Arabidopsis thaliana: one gene and its partner. The protein of the gene in region 1 interacts with the protein of each later gene in a pairwise test. Each region holds a gene or a part of one and is shown on either strand. Other genes may lie near its edges.

Region 1 (3,600 bases):
GTGACTCATAATGAAACGTATCATAATGGATTGACGAGTAGTTGTCTGATATTGACATCTTAATTTATAACTTCCCTTTTCATTGTTAATGTTCCTTACTGTCTTCTGATTGATAATAAAGACGTTGACATGTCAAACCACATAATTATTTGAAAAATATATATTATTTCTTCAGATTTTCATCATTTGTTATAAGTCTCGATAAGACAGTTTTTGTTTTTTTAACAATTTTTTACAAAAAACTTACGACCATAATTTAGTTCAGGCGAAAATCAGTGAATCATTAATCATATTTATTAGTTTGGATTTTTATGTGTTTTTCTTTTTATGTATTTGAGGATTTTTCAGTTTGTGAAAACAAATCTAATATGCTTATTTGATTTCTTCTTTATTTGCTGTATTCTTAATATATCTTGCAGAGCTAAGGTAATACTCAAATTTTTTTTTTCCACACGTAAAAACTCATATTTATCAGTTTGGAATTACTGTATTCTTTTTAGTAGTCCTCTCACTCGCCATGGCAAGAAGAAGGTTTTTTTTTCCTTTTTCTTGCATTCCATGTTAATCAGTATTTGAATAAAAAAGCAAGCTAAATCGGCAAATGAACTTATATCCAAATAATCAAGATATCAATCTGTGTAAGCATTACTAGAAAAGTAGAGATACTCGTGTTACCGTGTAAATTAAAAGAATAAAAATGTGCTTTTCAAAAGTTATATACTTTTCTTGTGCACCCATAACTTTAGCAAAAGCAACCATCATCATTCTTGAGCAATTAAAACAAATAATATTGATCTTCATTTGGTGCCAAAATACTTTACGGTAATGACGTCAAACTCGATGTTTCTTGTCAAAGTCTGAAAGACCAATATAAAATAACACTAGACACATTATAAAATTAACATATTGGTTCATTGTAATTAAACCGTCGAATATATATAACGAAAATACCAATTACGCTGTGAATAAACAAACAAAATCATTTTATTAGTCATCGAGTAAATAAATTCGATTATAATCCTCAATAGTCAATATATATATAGCTCACATCACATTATGCGATTAACAAAAACAATCCAAAACAGTTAAATGATTAGAAATTAAACGAGTCTCACTAAATTATTAACGACTCCAAATCACGAGAAGGCTTAAGAGTTATCATGTCGGGAGAATTTAACTGATAACCTCTTCCATTATCTCTCAATCACGTGATTTTTGTTCAACGAGTACCGCATCTCAAGAATAAAAATGGCAATTTAGGTAAATATTTGTCATTTTCAAGGGCAATGGAACTTAAAGATGCATTTCAGAAGGAAAAGCTTTGTCGTGTTATGAGGGAAATGTGGGGACGCAGCTACTTCGCTTTCAAACCGTTGGATGAATATCCTTTAAGGTTCATCGTACAAGATCGACGGCACTCACCGAGGGTGTACTCATGTTGTGACACAGAGGATCATGTCTACTTGGAGTACAGCTAGCAGCTAGAGATTCTGAGCCGATAACGTCGAGAATTGTAGCCGGCTAAGTCGTATATGCTGGTTTAAACTTTAATCTGTACTTATATATAAGTCAACGTGCTTATCAAAATCAGCTCCCTTATCGTGTGATAGGTGCATTGTCTTATTAGACTCCGTTATCCGTCACCTTCGCATATTAAAATCACTTTTTATTTTTTGGTTTTAAATTAAAGTCTCCATTTCTGCAAGATTTTAATGTTCGTATAAATAAGCCTGAAGAGAGAGAGAGAGAGAGAGAGAAAACTTGTTTTTTTTTTTTCCATTAGTTTTTTTCTTACTTTCTGGTCGAGAGAGGAGAGTCCAAAAAACCCAAATCCTTGGCCTCTTTCAATATCAGGAGAGAGAAACTGAAGCTCTGGCCTTTGTTTCTGAAATCGATCGTCTTCTTCTTCTTCATGGCAAGTAACGTATCTAGGTCTTTCATTTTTGGTTTAATATCTAAATCGTAGCTTTTCTGGGTTTTTGATTTTTGTTTTTGTCTCATGGAAGTGAAAAAGATGGCCATTTTAAGCTTTATATTTAATTCGGTGGACAATAATAATACTAGGAAGACCTAATTTTTGTGTAGCCCAATTAAACACTAATTAAATCCGCCGGAATAGAGACTTTTGGAGAATTTTCCGGAGGATAGTTGTAAAGATCTAGTTATATACTGTGTAATTAAGAGGCTGTGTCTATTTTCATTTTTTAAAAATAATAATTAAATGGAGGAATATCTGAAACCCAGTAAATTGGGATGATTTGATGGTTTTGTAAGGTTATCATCGTCGCCATTATATTGATATGCAGATCTGGTGGGTTTTTCTGCATCTGACTTGATAGCTTTATCGGACTGAGTGGCAAAATCAATCATGTCTTCTCTGAGCAGAGAGCTCGTCTTCTTGATCTTACAGTTTTTAGATGAAGAGAAGTTTAAAGAGACTGTTCATAAGTATGTCCGATCTCTCTTTTCCTTTTTGTCTTTTATTAGGCATTATTATTAACTTGATTGATTATTAATTAGGCTTGAACAAGAATCTGGGTTTTTCTTCAATATGAAGTATTTTGAGGATGAGGTGCACAATGGTAACTGGGATGAGGTTGAGAAGTATCTCTCTGGTTTTACTAAAGTTGATGATAATCGATACTCCATGAAGATTTTCTTCGAGATTAGGAAGCAGAAGTATCTCGAGGCCTTGGATAGGTAACTTGTGTCTCTCAACAACAACAAGAATCAAATGTTTTCATATTGCCAATCAATCACACCTGCTGCTGCTTCTATCTAGGCATGATCGTCCCAAGGCTGTCGATATTTTAGTCAAAGATTTGAAAGTGTTTTCCACTTTTAATGAGGAGCTTTTCAAGGAAATCACTCAGCTCTTGACCTTAGAAAACTTCAGGGAGAACGAGCAGTTATCCAAGTATGGGGACACAAAGTCCGCCAGAGCTATCATGTTGGTGGAACTCAAGAAGTTGATTGAAGCTAATCCTTTATTCCGTGATAAATTGCAGTTTCCTACCCTTAGAACTTCACGCCTCAGGACTCTGATTAATCAGAGGTATTCTTTGTCCTTTCTTGTTCACTTCAACAAATTTTCTTCTTGTCAGCTACTTTAACTCCTTGTTTCTATGTGGCTACATAAACCTGCAGCTTAAATTGGCAACACCAGCTTTGTAAGAACCCAAGGCCTAATCCTGATATTAAGACTCTCTTTGTCGATCATTCCTGCCGCCTACCAAATGATGCACGAGCACCATCCCCTGTCAACAATCCGCTTCTTGGATCATTACCAAAAGCCGAGGGATTTCCTCCTCTAGGCGCACACGGGGTAGGTCAATTTCCACCTGATTTTTCGTATTTTCTATAAGTGCCATTTCTACTGCTTTTGGTTCTAGCTCTATAGTTACCTTTACATGCCGTGCTTGACTTACCTTTATGTCTTTAGCCTTTTCAACCAACACCTTCTCCGGTTCCGACACCTCTTGCTGGTTGGATGTCTAGTCCTTCCTCTGTCCCACATCCAGCTGTGTCTGGAGGACCCATTGCTCTTGGTGCTCCATCCATCCAAGGTTATTTGCTTATCAAATGTGGTGTTTCTTTATA
Region 2 (3,832 bases), on another chromosome or scaffold:
ACCATGCGTATTAGAAGATGTCATATGTGGATAAAGAGATGGGTCATGCGTTTAGTTTTCTAGACCTTGGATGAGGATTTCCTTTCACCATTTTCTGCCCGTATTTACGCCACCTGTATCCATCACCACAGATACCAACATCACCAGCTGCGTGTACTACGAATTTGTTTTTCTTTCCAGGTTTGGAGACAGAATCTGAACTCTGTGAGTTATCTTTTTTCAGTCTGAAAAATAGAGAGAAGAAAGTCTATTAATTTCATCTTTCAAAGTGAAGAGTAAGCACCGAAATGCAAAATTCTACAAACTTGCCTTCGTTTTGGCTCTGGTTCCTCCACAGCTTCGTTCTCACAGTGTCTTTTCCGGTCAACGAGTGTTTGCGACTCACAGATGTATTCTTTAGTAGAAGCAGACGGATCTGAACCGCTAGGAACAATTGATAGCTCTTCTACTACTGTATCATCCTCTGAAACAGGCCGGATAGCTGTTGTAACTCTAATCTCTCTCGGGGAGAAGCTAGTCTTCCGGGGAGGTTCATGAGTATGTAAACCTTTGTTAACAATCTCTACCACATTGCCTGAATCATTGGAGCATTCAATTTTTTTAGCACAACATTCAGTGTATGTACACCTGTAGTAACTCCGTGAGCCCTTGGGACTCTTAACCTGCTTCTGTCCATATTTTCTCCAATTATAACCATCACGAGCCGGTGTCCTAGGAACAGGAGTAACCGACAATCTGTTAACCACCGGCGAATCTGATCTTTGCTCTTGTTTAGTTGGAACTGAAACCAGTGGTAAATCTTGTGCGGTTGAAGCAGTTGCAGGATCCAAAGATAGACATGGCGTCACTGTCAATGAGTCTGACGATGCAGCCAGAGAAGGAGATGTTTCTACCTGACGATTCTCTTCCACTTCATCAACCGGCACAATCGCACTTACAACAGTTTCCTTGACGCTATCAGTCTCCTGCCAATGTGATACAAAAAGCAGTTAAATGTCATGCCTTGATAACAGTGATTCTTGTCCTCAGAATTGCCTAAGAAATCAGACACACTAAAATGTAACAGATCAAACTGATACAGATACAGATTGAACTTGGCCAAAGGTTAAAACCATTACGATTAATCCTATTCCCATGTTATTGTATAATCACTGAACGAGTAACATCGAAGACACTGAAATGAGTTAAACTTTACAAGTTCTAGCACAATCAATGTTAATGAGAGAATCAAAGTTGTAAGTGTTAAGAAAGTTTATGAATAGCAGAAGAGTCTGAAGCAAACTCACATTCACTTCTAATACATCTTCAACATTTGGTTCCACAGAGGAATTTTCTCGAACACCTGGTAAACTCAAACATCATTTCGTCAAAAAATAAAGTCTCGAATAAATAAATAAAAACCAATAAAGAATTTTGCGCAGAATAAACCGTTACCTTGAACCTGATCCTTGCCTAGGGTTTCTCGCACAGTCTCATCATGTAAATCTTCCATATCCGCACCAAGTGATTTTTCCTCGTCTCTGAATTGACTCAGTCCGTCCTTCTCCGGCTCCACTTTCTCGCTCTTCTCCACCGTGTATGTCTTAGCTTCGTCGATACCAGTGTCTTCTTCCATGGACGATTCTCTCTTGTCCTCTTTTTCTGTATCTCGTGGGTTTTGTCTGAAGAGAGTAAAAGAAAGAAACGAACAAATTCTCTAGGCAGACAAAAAGGTAGCCGCTTTCCGACCGACTGATCTCCGGAAGAAAACGCTGCGTTTTGGTCCTTTATTATGCCTTCTCTGCTTTAAAAGCAAAAGAAGAAAGAAAAAAAGATACCAAAAAAGAAAGAGAAAGAAGGGGCATTAATGTCTTTCAGTCTTTGTTTGACTGTAGATAGTTAAACCAACTCCGTTTATTTCTCCGTTAATCACCCCTGCGTCACGTCAAATCATTGACGTGTTCCGTTTAGTTTACTATGTAAAATTTATCTTAAGACTATCTAGGATGTTTGTTTGTTTATTATCATGTGATGTGGTGATAAATAGCATAATGAATATGGTCAATGTTCTACGAATTTTGATATATCAAAGGTAATTTTTTGTTGTGTTGATCCATCTAGTTTAGATCATGACTGACCCCGAAAAGATTAGTACAGTGGTAAATTACTTACTTTATAGAGGAAACAACTGCAAGAAAAGTGGAGTTTGTTTTGCGTTCTTCCAAAATAGTGACTGAAAGAGGAAAAACATATACGTACTTTAATGTATGATAAGACTCAGCACGAAAATAGCAAAATATTTCAATGGAAAAAACGAAATTGTTTGTATTCTTCATTTTCTTCAGGGCTTCTAATGGCCCCATTTCAGCATACAAAAAAAAGGATATGTTAATGGGATGATATCTATCTATATGGGCTTTAGAAACGTTATCATGGATCACGGTATTAGCTTTGAAATTACACGAAATCTCGACCGCAGGATAGACGACAATATCTAAAAGCATCTGACGGTAGTAACACGAGTATTGTCTCTAGTAGGTCCCACCATGTTCCAGTTGGGTTTCTTACGTTTTAAATGCCCGAGCAACGGAAAAATGTCCGAGACCAAGACAGATCGTTTTATTTTCTCTTCTGGGAATCTCAGCTTTTTTTAAAAAAATATCCAGAGTCCAGATCATCGTATTCAATTTGATTAATCATAAATCAGATTTCATTTCGTTATCCTTTCCCAGGATTCAATTTCTTCGAATCCGATCGAATTTCGAATATTTTCAATCCGAGTTCGAGCGTTCATGGCTTCCTTGTCTTGTCATTAATGCTTTTGGTTCGAATCCATAAAAATCATTGATTTCACCTATTTTCAGAAATCAGAAATAATGGGTTTATCAAATGACAGGATCAAATTCAACGTTGGTGGCAGAATCTTCGAAACGACAGCGACAACGCTCGCTAACGCAGGTCGCGATTCCTTCTTCGGAGCATTATTCGACGAAAATTGGAATCTTTCACAACCCGGGGATCTCTTCATCGATAGGAATCCAGATTGCTTCGCTGTTCTTCTCGATCTTCTCCGAACAGGAGACTTAAACATCCCGCCTAATATCCCGGAGCGTCTCCTTCACAAAGAAGCAATGTTCTACGGCTTAATAGACCACTTACGAACCGCAAAGTGGGGACCTTTCGACGGTAACAGACTCCACCTATCTCGTTCCGTCACCGGCATAGCTCCTGGAGACGGAACGGCGATAAGAGCTGGTCCGGATGGTGGATGCTGCATAGCTCATGGGAGTGTCGTCCATGTCTTTGATTGGATGCTTGAGGAGCATCCAACGATTAATCTTGATTACCAGAGAGTGAACGATGTTGGTTGGATTGATTCTGGTAACATTGTACTCTCTGCTTGTGAGAGATTAGGAAGAGGAGATGGAGGAATGGGATTGTTTAGCTCATCTTCTGGTGAGCTTAGGTATAAGTTTCAGGTTAGTCATGATAATCAGGTTAAGAGTTATAGTGCTGGAGCTTTGAGTTTTAGTCCTGATTCTAAGATCTTTACGAGCTGTAAAGGAAGAAGTAATGAGTATGGGATTGGAGTTTGGGATCAAAGTACTGGAAAGCAAGTAGATTTCTTTTACGAGAGTCCTGGTTGGTCTTTAGGAGATGCTGATAAGTTGCAATGGTTGAGTGGTAAGAATTGTCTTCTTGTAGCTACTTTGTTTCCAAGGAAAGATAACTGTTATATTAGCTTGTTGGATTTCCGAGAGAAGAACATGGTCTGGTCTTGGTCTGATATCGGATTTCTTACAATGGCGGAAGAGAAGAGAGTGAGAGACGCGATAGCAATGGAAGAGAGCAA

The links.
Region 2: the proteins of TPR1 (region 1) and WRKY32 interact in a two-hybrid assay, tested with the Arabidopsis thaliana proteins (one study listed by BioGRID).

The regions. Positions count from the first base shown.
Region 1 is NC_003070.9:30,265,215-30,268,814, reverse strand, and holds the start of TPR1 (TOPLESS-related 1), read left to right. Parts: upstream 1-1,689; 5' UTR 1,690-1,915; intron 1,916-2,274; exon of another isoform or gene 2,275-2,306; 5' UTR 2,307-2,368; coding exon 2,369-2,448; intron 2,449-2,520; coding exon 2,521-2,700; intron 2,701-2,782; coding exon 2,783-3,055; intron 3,056-3,147; coding exon 3,148-3,325; intron 3,326-3,442; coding exon 3,443-3,566; intron 3,567-3,600. UniProt on the Arabidopsis thaliana protein: Transcriptional corepressor. Activates TIR-NB-LRR R protein-mediated immune responses through repression of negative regulators such as CNGC2/DND1. Negative regulator of jasmonate responses.
Region 2 is NC_003075.7:15,052,294-15,056,125, forward strand, and holds the start of WRKY32 (WRKY DNA-binding protein 32), read right to left. Parts: upstream 1,815-3,832; 5' UTR 1,616-1,814; coding exon 1,435-1,615; intron 1,343-1,434; coding exon 1,287-1,342; intron 966-1,286; coding exon 310-965; intron 225-309; coding exon 66-224; intron 1-65. Other genes in the region: AT4G30940 (BTB/POZ domain with WD40/YVTN repeat-like protein), read left to right, coding at 2,856-3,832. UniProt on the Arabidopsis thaliana protein: Transcription factor. Interacts specifically with the W box (5'-(T)TGAC[CT]-3'), a frequently occurring elicitor-responsive cis-acting element.